Linked DNA regions of Oryzias latipes. The protein of the gene in region 2 purifies or fractionates together with the protein of the main gene of each other region. This does not show direct contact. Links are inferred from orthologs where the notes say so. Each region holds a gene or a part of one and is shown on either strand. Other genes may lie near its edges. The genes, in order: ccnk and cdk13.

Region 1 (8,374 bases), on a different chromosome or scaffold from region 2:
AGGTGTCCGTGCTTTTTTCTAGACCAGGCAAGTCTTCCTTTTTGAAGTCTTCACTTTGAAACAATAAGTATCTGTTGATGTCAGAGTGAACAAACTCAAGTTTGTCCGTGTATTTATTGTTGAGTGTGAACGTAGAGAATCGAGAGCAACCAGTACCTGAACAGATCCGTTCATCAAGCTCTCCCGTCTCTAGAACAATTTTGTTCCAAATTAGAACATTTCTGAAGTGACCCATTGCTTAAATAATGGGTCAAAAAGAGAAATAAATGTATTATTTTTTAAAAGTGTCCTTTTTTCTAGGAACCGATTTGAAGCCATGACACAATTTTGGATACTGTATAAATAAATAAATGGTATTTGGTTTGAGATGTTCCGCATTGTTTTCCAATGCGTTTTAATTTGGAACCCAACTTTTTTTATTTCTAACTTTTATGATGCTTTTATCTATATACTAAAAAAAAAAACCCTGCAAACCTACAGTATAAATGTGTATTCTTGCAACTAGCATGACTTCTTTTCATGAATTTCACTGATACAAACAAATGAGAACATTTTTATTCAAATCTGAGAAAATGAAATAAACCAGTTGCTTAACAACACTGTGGACTCTTTTTTTAACAGTTGTTTGCCTAAGTCACACTGCCCTCTGCTGGTGAATAAGTACAGCTGCACCACTATAATGAAAATGGTGTTTTTAACACCATTGTGGTACTTTTCCCATGATGGAGGACATGTATGAAGAAAAGTTAAGCTCAAAGTTGAATTTGAGTATTTCTTTACTCAAATCGTTGGGAATCAGCAGCAAGTGAACAAATACTATTGGCTAAAAACTGCATAATCCTAAAAAAAACCACTAGGATCAAAAGATGATTAAAGTGCGCCTTTAATGTTATAGGTAACTTTCAAACATTCGTTTAACTTTTTTCATTCTCTAACAATTATTGAATTTATAAAGGCCAGATTTACTGGTGGGTTTCGTTCTGAAACTCCTTTTTCAAAAGTAACCTGTGGGATTAACTCAAGAAAGAACGTCGGCATGAAGTGATTTCATAATCAGAATTGTCATTAAAACGCTATAAAGGAGCACATCGATGCTTTCCTATAAAAGAAATGGTCCAGAGACTTAAATGAGAAATCTTTTCTCTACTGCTTCTCCTTTAATACTGTGTGAAGCACAGTTTATTGAAAAAACAAAACAGAAGTTCAAACAAAAGCGTCTCAACTGCAGCACAAATACTCCTGAAGCCAGTGTTGCTTGTATAAAATGAAAACGTTCGTTCAGATCCTGCAGCCCAGTTTTTATGGTGGATTTCATAGAAAAAATCAAAGACAAAGATGCTAATTCACAGGAAATTTCAATGGAAAAGCAGACGGCGGTGAAGGTACAAGACGTGAGCGGTGACTGTAAGTTGAGCTACTGGGTGTTGGAGAATTCACCTTCTAGATTAGAAAAGCAACGTTTACAGACCTCCCACTCTTCCTCATCAGCTCAGGTGTCAACAGTCTTTCAAACGTCCTCATCTCATCCACGCTCCACGGTTCAAGGGCATGCCAGGTGGGGGCGGCAAAGGCACTTGGGCTTGTCCCGGGGGCACGGGTGGTGGGGGAGGGTATCCCGCAGGCGGTAGGCCGATCCCGGGGGGCATGTGCGGAGGCGGAGGGTAGCTGTTGTAGCCCGGCGGCGGGTAGTTTGGGGCCAAGCTGGGAGGTGGATACGTGGAAGGAGGCGGTGGGGGTCCTGGAGGGGGCGCTGCAGGCGGTGGATAGACATGCGGGTGGTATGGTGGGATTGGAGGAGCATAGCCGGGGGGCATGGGGGCATAAGAGGGACCTTCTGTCTTCATCATGGACTGCAGGCTCTGGAAGCCCTCTCCGGACATGTACGAGGCGTTGGTGGACATCAGGTAGTTGGAGGGTGGAGGAGGTGGAGGGCGATGGGGCAGGGGAGGGGGCTGGTGGGGAGGTGGAGCATGAGGGGGAGGAGGAGCCACTTCACTTCCTGGCTCTGCTTCTGCAGGAGGAGCTGGTACAGGAGGAGAAAAAACAACAAGTTAGATGTTTCATGACCTCGAATGACCTCAGTTCTCCAACAATGAAAAGAGGAGCCCTCCTCGTTTGGATTAAGCCCTAATCAGATTGGTCTGGAACAGCCTGCATGTTTTGAAACAGACGAACTGATTACATAAGTCTGATTTATGAGCTTCAGTTCCTATCTAGCCAAACATGCAAACAATAAATCTGCCATCAGATCAGCAAACTGGAGTATAAACACTAATCCTGTTCGGTTCAACACAAACAGAAGTTCAGGAACAGCTGCTCACCTGGTGGTTGAACAGCCGGTAGTGGGGGCATGGGACTCTCCAGTCGGGGAATTTTTGATCCAGTTTGTTCTGCAAATTTAAAATTAAAAAAATTAATAAAAAAAAAAAAAAACGGAACAAATATTTAAAATATTCTCTCTTGCAGATTTTTTCTGCGAAAAAACGAAGAAATTGTTTCACCTGGAGCCTTTGGTTCATCTTTAGGGGATGTCTGAAAGAATTTACAAAAAAAAAAGCGAGTTTACCATCTGACAGCTCGTAATGATGTTAAACAGCTGCTGCGTAGACGACTCCTGCTTACGTGGGAGCGTTTGAGCTGCCGTGCGGGACTGCCCCCCTGCGGCGACGTCTTTTTTGGCGGTGGGGGAGGCGGGTTGGAAACTGGGAGCTGCCCCTGCGGCACCGGCGACGCAGTGGGTGTGACAGCCGCCGTCTTCTCCTTCTCTTGGACCTGCTGAGGGATGGGCTTGTTCCCTTGAGAATATAGGTCCAGGATCTGGTGGCAGATGTCTGAAGGGACCAAAGGAAGCTGTGACTGAAAGCCCCACGTTTTTGAGGAAAACAATAAAGTTTTTTTTTTTTTTAACCTTCAAGCAGCTCAACTGGGACGTCCTGCACAAACTGCTCCCACCAACGCCGCGACGATTGCTTGGAGGTCCACTCCTGGATGTCAAACTTACAAAGTCGGCCTGCTAGGTACATGACGGCCACGGCGATGATCTCCGGCTCCCACTGCAGGGACAGCATGGTGCACAGGCTGCCAGGGACGCAAATAAAGCAGTGAAGGCCTTATCTCAACTGTGTAGATCGATTTATTCTAACTCAAACACACATTTAGCAACAACTACAAGATTCTTAAAAGCTCAATGCGAGAATCAGCACCTCTTACCTGTCATTGACGAAGGTCCAGGCCATTTGGAGCACCTTGCATACTTTGTTCTTGTCTCCTGAAGCACCAAAACAAAACATGAGTCTTTCTGAGCTCCATTGGGGCAGCGGTTCTGCACGAACCCCGTCCCACCTTTCAGCTGTTTGACGTAACGCAGCAGGAACATGTAAGGGTGCTCCACCTGCAAGTCAAACTTGATGGTCTGGAGCAAAATCCTCTCCAGCACCATCACCTCCTCCTGTTTGAACAAGGTCAGACATGACTGTCCTGCACTTCAGACTCACAGAAATGTGTGGCATGAAAGATTCAAAAAAAAAAAACTGTTTATTAAAATAGAACTGCACCTTCGGATCATCTCCAAACTGGGCGAACTGGACATCGTTGAGTAAACTGCGAGCTGTTTTAATGATATCTTTACACTTCTTTGGCGTTTCCTCCACTTTCCCAGCCAAGAAAAGACAACAGGCACCCGTCACCTGTAGAAACACAAACCCAAAATCCCACATTAGCTTTTGTGTTAATGAAAAAAAAAAAAAAATACCAAAAGAGTAAATAAATCATGAACATACATATCTGGGAAACTGCTTGAAGGAGTGAAACATGTAGAAGCGATGGAAATATATGATGCCAGTTGCAAGAGTGTCATAATGTCTGCTGGCAGTTAAGAATCCATTTCAGAAGGACAGAAGCATAGAAACAGTAAATCCCTCACCATAGGAGTTTACTTCATGCACAATAGAAGCCTTAAAATCGCCCAATCATGATAAACAAGTGAGCTAAATGTACAGAGAATGCATTCAAATAGCTGCAAACTGAGACCCGTTGCTCAGATTACTGAACCCATCGAGGATACAGGCCGAGTCGAGTCCCCACGTCAAAAATGAAGCGGGCTCCTTCTCTCCTGTACCGGGCCTCGGTCCCGGGGTCAAGACCCTCGGACTGGGAAGGGGTGTGGGCTAAATCCTTCTTGTCCCAGTACCAGCACGGCTTGATGTGATCCAGGAAGGACTGGCCGCCCGAGAAGTCCTTGGACTCCTTCATTGACTGAGGGGAGGTGGTGGATGGACCTGCTGTGCTGCTGGACTGCTGAAAATAGCAATAAATGTCGATATTATGGACAACTTTGGTCAGTCAGATGTAGCTCTTTCATTCTGATTTAAATACAATTTTGTATTTAAATGGGCCTAAATTTATTTAGAGAGTCGTGTAAAAACGTCCAAAAAATAAAATAAAAGCCAGAGATTCACAAATTAATAAAAGCTTAGAAAATGATCACCAGTGTTCACCGCTTTCTCTTTAATGATGCAAGTATATTAATAAATAAACCTAAAAATTGGGATTTTTTTTTGAAGAAAAAAAACAAAAACTCATAATGGGGGGGGGGGGGGGGGATGTTCCCAAAACATGCCGGCCAGTAAAGCGATGAAACTGAATGAATGTACCCGCTAACGGCTAGCAAAGCCGCCGGAGCCGACAAGCTACGATAAATAAGTCAAATTTGGAGTCACCGGACTCCGGCGGAAGGACGCAGCACGTACCTTTATCATGTAGGCGACGACAGGATTAACCGGAGAGCACAAACGCGACACGAGACTTCAGTTATTCACCCAAAGTTAGCGACAGATTCGAACAGAACACCCGCTGGCACAACAGAATCGCCATTTTGAAGAACGTCAAGTGCGGCTGACGGACGTCATGACGTCACAAGCAACCGCGTGCGCTGCTTGAAGAGAAAACGTTACCGTGTACTACGTAGAACCTACTGGAGACGTTTTGTTCCCGACAGTATCTGGAAGAAAGGCTGGACTGTGACCCAAAAATTTATGATAAATAATAAAATGAAAGAAGTTTCTTATAAAATAATTCACAAAATTTACCGCACCAATCAATTTATGCTAAAATACATTAAAACAATTGACCCTAACTGTACTTCTTGCAAAGAATTTCCAGAAACAATTGACCATCTTTTTTGGAATTGTACTATAATTAGAATATTTTGGAAAAAATGTTTGCAATTTATTAGAAATCGCATTCACCCCAACTTTAATCTAAAGTTTGAACATATAATTTTTGGCCTTCATAATAAAAATTTGGAGTCAAACAAAAAAACTCATAGTTAATCTTGTTATTATTTTTGGCAAATTTTATATACATACATTTAAATTTTCTCCATCTTCTATTTTTCCCTATTTTAATCAAACAAATTGAAATGTATATCAGTAACATCTCCAAGAGTCTTAATCAGAAAGCAGTATGTCTATATGAAAGTTGCAGAAACCTGAATGTTTTTATGTAAAATGTATTTAGTATGTATGCTCCCCTGGCATATCTGAATTTTATTTAGTAAAATTGTGTTTTGTATCGTACTTACGTTTTGTACAATAAAGTTTAAAAAAAAAGAAGAGAAAACGTTATTTAAATGTATAGAATAGCAACTTACTGCTTTGACTGCTCTTGTTTATAATCTTTTTTCGTCCTTTATTCTTTATGTTCCCCTGGCACATTTTGTTATTCTTTTTTTATCTGTGTACTTAAAAACTGACTTGATTTTGTATCCTGTACATCTTCAATAAAGTTTTGAAAGAAAAAAAAGAAAAGAGGAAACGCTACAGTAACACACTGGTGGAAAAATGTGATTTTTAACATCATTGCAGAGTCCAACTTTATTACCAATTGACCCAACTAAAATACAAATAGGTCAAATCTGTTTTTCTTCTTCACGTAACACAAATCGCCGCATGTGCTCACTCTTTCAGAAGGATGTTGTGTCCATTCCCTATGTACTTTATTGGAATAATTGAGTTTACCAATCATGGAAAAAGATCTGGAATCTACCAGAAAAATATTTCTTAACCAATAAAGTGAAAGAAATCTCATTTAAACTAATCCATAAGTCTACCCAACCAAACTGTATCTCCAAAGGTTCAAAAAGGATGTTGATGTCACCTGCTCTTTTTGTCAAGAACACCCTGAAGATGCTGTACATTTATTTGATCATGTCCCTTTTCCACTAGTCTCTGGTCTAAAGATTGCAATTTCATATCCGCCCACATTGACACAGACTCTATTTAGAACATGTTATGTTTGGCCTCACCCACTGTCCATCTCATAAAAAGAACAATCATACAGCATTAATCTCTTATTGTTTTTTTATACAAATTGCACATTCATAAATCCAAAGTTACAAATCAAACCCCTTATTTTTCTATCTTTATCAATGAGTTCAAACAATGCATGAAGACAATAAGAAACTATGACAATAAGAAGGCCATTAAAACATTCGATCTGTGCGTCAGTTTGTGTAAAATCTAATATTAACCGCCTGGTTTGTTCCTTTCCTGTTGTTGTCTTGAACTGTTGTGTATTTGATTGTTGCGTTCAATAAAGTTTGGTTAAAAAAGGGGATTTACTGTAAAGCAAAAATCATCAGTATACATCTTTCAGATAAACACAAAAAAAATACATATTTGTGTTTGTGTGTTTATTCAACAGGTTTATGACCTAGATTTTTATTTTATTATTTTCATTTTTAAGTACTTTTCTGCTTAATTCTGTTTCTGCTTTTCACAATCACAGTCTTTTTCCCTCTAACTTTATATAGATTTATTTTTTCGGTGCTAAAAGTATTCGCGATTACGTTTCTGTTGTGTGAAAGAGTGTATTGTCCTTAAAGTTCACTAGTATTAAAAATGGGAAAGAAATTGCTCATCTACATGTTTTATTGTTACATCAAATACTTACAGTGAGATTTCATATGTAGAAATGTAACTCTAATAAGTAACATTATAAGACCAACATTACTGAAGTGCCAAACAAGAATATTTTATGTGTCGTGGAAAAGGTATTCTCTGAAAGTCCAAAATCAGAGAGCATGTTTATGAGCATTAATAGAGCAATAACTGCTTTTTTGAGGAAATTATAATGATTTAGTACTTTTCCCATTTATTAATAATAGAAAACACACCTTAATGAATTACTATTTATGTTTAAATGAGGCTGCTGCGTCAAACAAACCACAATTCAATTATTTACACCGAGACAATGCCATTCTCAATTACTACCACTAGAGGGAGACAAATACACGTGAAACAGTGTCAGACAGACAGACAGACAGACAGACAGACAGACAGACAGACAGACAGATAGATAGATAGATAGATAGCAGCAAAGAGCTGCTGCAACCATTTGTAATTGAGTATTTTACTCTGGATGACATGAGCATTTTTCCTGAGTGCCATTGTTGTATGACCAAAGAACCATCTTCTGTTTATGCCTGAAATATGACTAATAGAGCAGAACCACAAGTCCTGTGGAGCCCTCTCCATTTGCCCCTCCAGTCTTCATTTCCCAGAAAAGCCAGCATTAAAACATTTACTCTGTCCACATAAATTTTTGGAAGATGCATGCATTATATATTTACTCCCGCTCGGACAAATCCTCTTAACTGTGGGAGAAATTGTCAGGTTGGGTTCTGGAGAAAAGTAAGAGCCTTGTCTACTTGTATCGCCTGTAGCAAAGGAGCATCTCAATCTGTCATTCAAACCACACACTCACACAACTGCAGTAAATCAGCTTATAAATAATATATACTTATACTTTCTTTATTAATATTAAATATTGCATAATGAAGCAGCGAATATAAGCAAATCCCACAGCAATATTCGTATTACCAGCAGCTCTCCTGGAGTGGACCTTTCATTGTTTATGTCAGCCCTGTCACTTTGTGGTTAATCACATCAAAAGCCTTTATTATTCTTTAAATCTGGGCTAGAAAAAAATAAATAAATAAAGCAGTCCCCAGAATGTTCTTAAAAATTGTATTATGGACACTTTTCCATCATATTGGATATTTTATTAATGTCCTTTTTTTTTATCTTTAGGGAGAAAGTCAATGGAGAAAGGAAAAAAGATGTAATGAAGATTTGACCCAGAACCAAAGCGGATGTCCAGTCATGTGCACGAGCCGCCCTCCTTCACTTTCTCACTGGGTTTTAGTTTTTTGGGGGGATGTTTTAACATAAATTATAAGTGCTTTTAGAATTTGCTTATGTTAGTTTGATAAAAGCTGGATTTCAGAGATGACACTCACCTCAGGAGGTACATTTGGACTTAAAACCTTTCCTGTGTCCACAATCAGGCCGTGTTGGCCCTCTACAACCTGTTT
Region 2 (8,361 bases):
TATGTTTGATCTGCTGGGAGGGTGTTCCTACACTCAGGCACTTAGAAAGACACTAAGAAAAACCTAGTTTTGCTTTCAGTTTTGGTTGCAGATTTGCATTAAAGTAGCAGAGTTTGTTTCCCGAGCACATCAGAGCAATAAGCCACACGAAAGCAGAACTTTTGAGTTGAAAACGCGTCAATCGGAAGAACGCGACTCAAGAAAAAGTGATGAGGCAGTGATGGGATACTTATCACCAATCTACATGACAGCTAGGCTATAGAAGAATCTGGATTTTCTTCAACGTTTGTCTTCTGCAGACAGTAACTTAAGCTGCGAGTTATTCTCCAGTTGAGCGTCCTCACCGAGCAGCACAGAGGCGGCCGCATTCTGGGTCTTCATGGCGCCGGGCGCCGCGAAGCCCTGTGGAGTGTTGCTGCGGCTGTCGTCCAGACCCAGCTCTTTACGCGGCGCTTTTGGAGCCACCAGCTCTTCCGGCATCTGCTTCTGCCGCCGCCGTTTCTTGCTCCACAGCTCGTGACAGTCCTGCCAAAGGGGGAGGCTGAAAATAAAAAAAGAAGAGAAAAAAGTTACAAATCAGAAGACTTTGGGCAGATGCGAGGAGATAAAAGTGACCCGGAACACACTCGGGTGGAGGCATCTTGTCGGGATCCACATCCTTGAGAAACTCGCTGCTCAGCGCTTGTTCGGCCGTGCAGCGTCTGCCGGGGTCCAGGTTCAGCATGTGGTCAAACAGATCCAAGGCCGCCGGAGGGATGCTGGACGACCACAAGACCGCCAGCGTTATCACAAGGTCAGGTTATTGGGAAACGAGTCTAGAGTTGCGTCAACTGACTTACAAAGCAAACTCCTCTCTGAGCCGCCTCCGATATTGCTTCTTTGGTTTCATGGTGTTGAAGAACGGAAGCTTGATCACATCTGGCCACACAGCGGGACAAGGACTGCCGCAAATACGACTGAAACAAACATATAACCCCATTTTCTTCCCAATTTGCGACATAACAGAGACAATTCCATAAAAACGCAGAGAAAAATAACATTTTCACTGAAAAGACCCGGCCGTCCAAACATGAAACCCCCGGAAAAGTGTAGCTGCTTCTCACCTGATGAGCTCCAACTGAGCAAGCTCCTGGTTGGCTTGAAAGATGGGTTTCTTTGTGAACAGTTCTCCCAGAATGCACCTGTGACAGAATCGCCAACATGAAAAACTACGACGGACGAACACCAGCTGGCTTTGAACGAACGCCGCCCTTACCCGCAGCTCCACACATCGATGGCGGGGGTGTACCTCTCCTCCCCCAGGAGCAGCTCCGGCGGGCGGTACCAAAGCGTGATCACTTTGTTCGTGTACGGTCGACTGAAAGTGGAAACACGGCGACACACACGAGTAAAAGAAACACAAACCAACCATCATAAAGTCCAGTCATAAAACACAAGACTCACCTCTCCTCTGAGTTATAGAGCCGAGCCAGGCCAAAGTCTGCCAGCTTTATTTGACCCCTGATTAGGAGGGAGAAAACGATTAAGCACGTTGTGAAACATCCTGGAGGTTGTTGTGATTTCTGCCTCCAGCCTCACCTGTTGTTGAGCAGAATGTTGGAGCACTTGATGTCTCTGTGGAGGAAGTTCTTCTTGTGGCAGTAATCCAGACCCTCCAGCAGCTGCCGCATGAAGGACTTGATGTGGCTTTCGTTGAAGTGAACCAGGCCAGACTCCAGCAGACCCATCAGGTCGTGGTCCATGTATTCAAACACCAGATAGAAAGCACCTGGAATTAAAAAAAACATAAAAAAAGCTACTTTAACCTCTCAACTCTTAAAGTTTTAAAATAACTTTTAAATTTCAACGGTTACCTTTATCGTTCCTGAAATCCAGAGCGTCCTCTTTGTCCGTGACGATCTCCTTCATGTTGATGATGCTCTTGTGGTTCAGCTGTCGCAGAATCTTGATTTCTCTGATGGCCGTGATCGGAAAGCCTTCCTTCTCATTGTCCAGACGGACCTTCTTCAGAGCCACCATTTCACCTGAGCGAAACAAACCTGAGAATGAGTCTGCTCTGCTTTTTCCAACTCAAGCTGAATCCACTGACTGCGGTAGAGGGTAAACACAGAGAATGAATGAGCAAACATTTTCAGGAAACCCACCAGTGTCTTTGTCTTTGGCCTTGTACACCTGACCGTAGGTGCCTTCTCCTGTGATTCCAATGATCTCAAACTTGTCCACACACCGTTTACCCCAATCTATCTCGATTTCCTTGATCTCGCCAAACCTCGGGCCACAAATTCTGGTAAAAAAGAAGCAAACAAGAAGTAAATAACCATCAAGTCGATATTAAAAGTCCCACTTTAAACATTTTCTAGAAATAGAAATCCTCAGAAATGCCATTTTAAGCTTAACTGATGACTTGACATGATTGGAAAAAAGCAACAAGAAATACACAATTTTCAGTAGATTGGAAAAAAGCAACAAGAAATACACAATTTTCAGTAGATTGGAAAAAAGCAACAAGAAATACACAATTTTCAGTAGAGTGGGTCTACACAGCTGCAGGGAAGGGAAATTACTTTGGTCTTCGTCGAAATGTTTGGGACTTTTCCAGCTTATCGGGAGGGCTGCTTGGAGAAACCGAGGGGCAGGGGAGTTCAGGGGGCAAGGGGAGGTCAGTCAGAAGCTGGCGCGTTTTTTTCTCCAGCTTCTTTTTGCCCGGAAGCGAGCCGTCTTTCAAACTATGAATGGAGGAGAGCAGACAGACAAAAACAATCAGATAAAGCCGCATGGATGCTACAATACAAGTGCTGAGGAGTGTGAAGGAGGTTACATACTTGTCTCCTTTGTCTGCGTTCTCAGCAACTATTTGGGGCAGTGGCAGCTGTGGCAGAGTGGAGATAACTGGGCCAGCGGCTCTGTCCTTGTCTTTGATCTGCCCAGACGCCGGGGCTTTCTTCTTGTCCCGGTGTAGAGGGTCCTCTTTCCCCTTACTGCTGCTCTGGTGCTCTGCTGTCTTCTTCAATTTATCTGCAGGAGACTGAGGCTGGTTGGATGTGGGGGTCCGGGGCCCTTTCTCTGGGGCAGGCGGTGAGGGGGGGCGTCCTTTCTTGGCCGTGTGGTTGGATTTGGGACTGGGCTGGTGAGCAGACGACGGCATTTTGGTTGGAGTCGACGTGTTGCTCGAGTTTTTGGCCTTTGCGGCCGCTTCTGCGGCTTTGACCTTTTTCTGCTTGCTGAGCTCGGCGGCCAGACTGCTCTTGAAGGTGAGCGTGCTCGGCGACAGGCTGGAAGGGCGGCTGCGGGAGCGAGAGTGTCGGTGGCGGCTGTGGGAGCGCGAGTGCCTTGAGGATGGAAAGGGACTTCTGCTGCGTGACCTTGCGGGTCTCCTGCAGAGAGAATTATGGGTGAAATCTCAGACTGAAAAGCAGGACAGGTTATGGTATATTTCTGACATATAGAGCAGGTTTTTCCCAATAAATCAATACTAAACAAATAAATAAAAATGTTTAAGGCCTACTACAACGCTGAAGAACCTCACCTGACATCTGGACTGGGGCTCAGGGACTTCCTGTATGGACTCCGTGACTTCCTCCGCTTTCCATAAGGACTTGAGACGAACTCTCCTTGTTCGAAAGGGCTGTGTCGACCGTAACTTGGTGACCTCCTCCAGTTGGCTGGGCTCGCGGGCGATCGCTTCCTCTTGTTGCTTGAATACGAAGTGGGTGACTTTGGCATTCCATATCCGCCATACACATCATCCCGGTTGAAATACGTAGCACTGGGAGAATGTCTTTTACTTCCATAAGTTGGACTTCTTCTAGATGCCAGCTGGGCATAGTTACCAGGAGATTGGTAGTTAAGGGAATAGGATGTCCCATAGGGACTGTCAGTTTTAAAACCAGGACTTTTTCTGTACGCCCTGGGGTCCTCGCGGTCGTTTCGATAAGACTGTGGCGCGTCTCTGTACGCAGACGGCGTCTCTTTATCAGTTCTCGTTTTGCTTCTGTGCCTTTTTGCGTTCTTCTTATCTGCCGATTGAGAAGACGAAGACGTCCTTTTGCCATTTTTGTCGCCGCTCCGTGTGGCGGTTTTAGAGCCGCTTAGGCTACCTCCAGTTCTGACTTTTAAGGAGTCTCTTTCACGACTCTGGTGATCTTTTTTCTTGGACAAGTCCTTATCTTGTTTGCTCCTCTCGGATGGTCCTCTGAACTCTTTACTGAGGTAAACTGCTTCCCGGTCTCTTAGTTGACCCCTGGCCAGGGAGGCCGGTCCATTATATTCAAAGTTAACAGAGCTGAGGGGATCCGCTGGGAGATTGTCAGCGTGGGGGTCAATTTTAGGAGAGGGGCTACCGGAGAATCGTTCTGATTGGGAGCTCACGTCGTCGTATTCTACTAACGTCCGAAGTTCAAGTTCCTTGTCGAAATCACTTCTCTTGTCGGGGCCGTCCGTTGTGACCGCATGCCACAGGTGTCGGTCCTTCTGCTGCCTGCGCTTCTTCCTCCGGGAGGCGGACGACCGTCCCTTCTCGCGGCGCCTGTCTCGCGGAGCGGTGGTACCGCTCGCCGCTTTGCTGCGCCTCCCCTGCCTGTTAGCATTCTGGAGCTCCGAGGGGCTCCGTCCTCCCCGCCCGTCGCGAAGCACCTCCGAGTTGGGCATTTATGTCTCAATTAACGGATGAGTTAGGAATAAGTTTATAAAATATGAACTACGTGCCCCTGTCGATTCATAAAACACAACATTGGGCTAGCTGTGTAACAGGCTACTAAGCTGACATTACAGCTAGCTAAATCGCTAGCTTTAGCATTCAGTGGCTATTATTAAGACCAAAATTCCCGATACAAACAATCGTAATGCTCCGTAGAAGCTGGTGCTAAGGATTTAGTCACAACTAATTTACAGCAATTTTATAACAAACAATACTTAACCGCCGTGTTCCAGCGAAAAGCCCACATATCCAGGATTTGATAGCGAAGGCTAGTCGGTTTAGCCCGCTAGTCCGCCGTAGCTAGCAGTTCGGCTACAGAGTGGTTTTCCCATTTCATGGTGAACGTTCGCAATGACCCGAAACAACTTAGAATTATTAAAAAACCAACGTCTTCTAAATTATAAATGTCCATAAAAACAAAAAGCTATCAGTGCACATTTAAAAAACGAACAATAAAAAAAGTCAGACGCCTCCATAAAAACTTCTTGCCTTCCATCACACTCGTAGATGCAACAAGGAAGTGAGGTCGGAGGCTAGCTCCCTGCTAGCAACTTAGCCGGTCGGCTTTTCTTTTCTCCTTCTGTGGAGTTCAACTCAGTGAATTTGAAGTAAAACATTCAAAGGCGCGTCCGCCTAAACCTTCACCGCAGAGACTCTCCTCCGTCTAATAACATCCTCCACGATCCCGGAACGCGATGACTCTCATCGAGGAGCGATTTAGATCAAATCCTCGAATCTATTTCAAAATACTTCACACAACTTCATTGTGGCTAACGGTGCAGCTCGCTTGGGCCACAGCTTTGGAACTACAGGCCTTCTACGTAGAAACGAACCAATAGGAACCCAGTGCGTAACTTACGTCAGAGCTTACGTCACAACGAGGGGAACCCTTCCCTTCAAAATAGAACAAAATTGATTTTTTTTTAATTAAAGGGCGACGTATTTTTCCTGCGGTTCATTTACATTAGAAAATGTTTTTAATGACAAATATAAGCATAAACACAAACATTTTATGGAGGGAGGTGTTCAAAGACAATTGCATAATAACCCCCTCCAAAGAAAAAGAACGAAATTTGATTTTTTAAATATATTGTCTAATAAAAATACCTTTTCCTCTCGATAATTTATCAGTTTAAATAGATTTTTATTTTCAATATTTTGGGTATTACATCAGGTTTTTTAGCATATAATCCCCCCTTCTGTTTCTTTTATTGCCATTAGTATATGAGACATAACTTTTCTTCATATATATATATATATATATATATATATATATATATATATATATATTTTTGTTCTTAAAATAAACTATAATACTGCTGAAAATTCTATTTCTAGAGGGGCCTGAACTAACAAAAACAAATGATTTTTTTCATTATTATTGCGCACATTTATGATTTGTTTATGTACTTTTCTTCTTCTAAACACCTAATCTTTAGTTCTTTATTTTCTTAAAGATTCTTTTAATTTTAAAGTTCTTGGTTCAACAGTTGAGTTGTGAAGTTAATTCATTTAATATTGGGACAAAACGTCAATTAAGAGCTTAAAGTAAACGTTCCATATGCCCATGCTTTCACATTTCATTGCTATCTGCAGAAATGATCCCATTTAGAAACATTTCTTAGAGTTTCTCACTAAGACAGACAGTAGAAAAAACAAACACATGTGGAAGATATTAGTAATATCCATTTTATTAGCCACTTTCAAAGAACTCACAGAATATGAATTGAAATGTAAGCTTCACCTCTTGCATTCACAAAAAGGCTACATTAGTGGTTACGCTCAAAAAAACAAAACAAAAAGAAAGTAAACATGAAGGAAACATTAAACTGGTGGCATACATACAACCATCCAGCCAAAAGACATCCATATTTCTTTTTCATTTACAGGTATTTATATAAAAGGCAAACCGAAGGTATTTGAATACCCAGTGGGACAGTTTGCTCATAGCGTTCACACAAACATTTTATTTTGCATCATGTTGAACATTTTGGGCCATAAAGTCAATACAATTATGCATAAAATAAAAAATAGTTCTGATTTTCCACTTAAAAGTAGACGAGTGTGTTAGGCTGATAGTACGATAAGCAAGCACGATGCTAGTTCCCGTGACGAGTTAAATCCGTCCGTGCCGGTCACTTTAAGACGCTCCCTAAGGTTCACATCCAACTAACTCCTCTGTGTGCTCTTAACTCCACAAGCATTCCTCTGTTTCACCAACTAGTGAGACGATGGACGAACACAAGAACATTAATAGTAAAAAGATTGATTTCAAGAGCCTCTGGGCAACGCCGCATCACGCCATCCTTCGTCATTGGAGCTGAAGTGCATCCAAAACACTCCAGCTTTGTAAGGTAGTTTATGGAGACCAACTTCAGTTTCAGGTTCCTTCTTTGCAAATCAAGCAACATCATTATTATTATTTTATTTTTTTTGCATAGACTTACTCTCAGTTTAAACAGAGTGGAGGCAGAGTGGCAACGGCCTGCAGGGGGCGCCTAATGGATTGACACCCAAATAAACCAAAAAAATTAGATCTTTTAAAATGAAAAACCATTTGTAAAAGCTTGAATCACATGACTGCTACTCTTTGAGTTTGGTGAGAGTGGCCTGAAATCCTAGATTCCACCACGCTAACACAAGCTGCAAAGGAATAGTCGAAAGGGAAGAACATTAGACTTTTAAAAACACGAACCATCTGCATCTGTGCTCCAAGATCACTTCCTCTTTGCTCATTTATATAGAATCGGGGTTTTTTTCTTTGCCCTTTGACCGCCTCAGATGAGCCACACCGACAGACGCAGAACGCACGAACGAGCCGTCGGATTAGGGGGCAAACGGGACGAGAGAGAGAGCGGACGTTATTCACATTCACAATGGACAGAGAGGCAACAGTGATGCAATGCACAGGGTTACTAAAGCCGTCATAACCTTGCATTTCCTCGCAGGCGGTCCAGAGCTAAATATTTTGCTTTCCATGACACCCAGTTGATCTTTGAGGTCTCACACAGACATTGTAGTGCTTCTTGTTTTTTTAATAATCCGTTTTCTGTATGGCAGGTTTTCAGACACTTACATTAGTGAGCGGGCACTTGTTTGAACTAGCTAGCTGTTTTCTTTGGTAACCGACAGCATCGTTTTTGAACAGGTACCACTTCACTTTTTTTCTTTTTTTTAAGCATACTCCAACTCTTTGAAAATAAATGTCAAAAAACAAAAAAAAAAGTGGGATTTAAAGTCAGCGATTAAAGTGAGTTGAAAACATGAACGAGTGCAGCGCGTAAAAGGTTTAGTGTTACGGAATCACCTTTTATCAGAGCACCAGAGATTCCTCTATTCTGAAAAGGAAATAACATTTTGAGATGAAATAAACTAAAAGCTGAGAAACATCTGAAAAGTTCAAGTGTTTTGTTGTTTAAATTCCCTAAAGGGTGAAGGTTATTTGTGCATTTGAGGAGACCTGGAGAAGAGGGAAGGAAATGGAAGCGTTAGTGCTCTTTTCTACATGTGTTGATCACAGACAGACACAAAAAATAAAAACTTCCACATGGAATATTTGCAAAGTAAGAAGGAATGGCATTGAATTTCATTTCCACCGTGACACTGAGCGTGTCCTTGAACTCCAACTGTCTACTCATCTAAAGCAGACGGTGTCGCGTTAGCGT

What was found.
Region 1: the proteins of cdk13 (region 2) and ccnk purify together in Homo sapiens (affinity purification with mass spectrometry; 4 studies listed by BioGRID and IntAct, counting the BioPlex papers as one, with this or other methods). This does not show direct contact. The link is inferred for Oryzias latipes from reciprocal best matches to the Homo sapiens genes CDK13 and CCNK.

Annotation. Positions count from the first base shown.
Region 1 is NC_019882.2:3,581,501-3,589,874, reverse strand, and holds ccnk (cyclin-K), read right to left. Parts: upstream 4,896-8,374; 5' UTR 4,758-4,895; coding exon 4,749-4,757; intron 4,297-4,748; coding exon 4,064-4,296; intron 3,862-4,063; coding exon 3,780-3,861; intron 3,687-3,779; coding exon 3,555-3,686; intron 3,449-3,554; coding exon 3,343-3,448; intron 3,269-3,342; coding exon 3,211-3,268; intron 3,079-3,210; coding exon 2,909-3,078; intron 2,832-2,908; coding exon 2,623-2,831; intron 2,533-2,622; coding exon 2,502-2,532; intron 2,391-2,501; coding exon 2,322-2,390; intron 2,024-2,321; coding exon 1,518-2,023; 3' UTR 868-1,517; downstream 1-867. UniProt on the Homo sapiens protein: Regulatory subunit of cyclin-dependent kinases that mediates activation of target kinases.
Region 2 is NC_019878.2:22,522,566-22,530,926, reverse strand, and holds the start of cdk13 (cyclin-dependent kinase 13), read right to left. Parts: upstream 5,516-8,361; 5' UTR 4,648-5,515; coding exon 3,527-4,647; intron 3,375-3,526; coding exon 2,823-3,374; intron 2,727-2,822; coding exon 2,565-2,726; intron 2,285-2,564; coding exon 2,145-2,284; intron 2,025-2,144; coding exon 1,854-2,024; intron 1,769-1,853; coding exon 1,579-1,768; intron 1,501-1,578; coding exon 1,444-1,500; intron 1,358-1,443; coding exon 1,256-1,357; intron 1,182-1,255; coding exon 1,104-1,181; intron 957-1,103; coding exon 840-956; intron 759-839; coding exon 627-758; intron 542-626; coding exon 345-541; intron 1-344. UniProt on the Homo sapiens protein: Cyclin-dependent kinase which displays CTD kinase activity and is required for RNA splicing.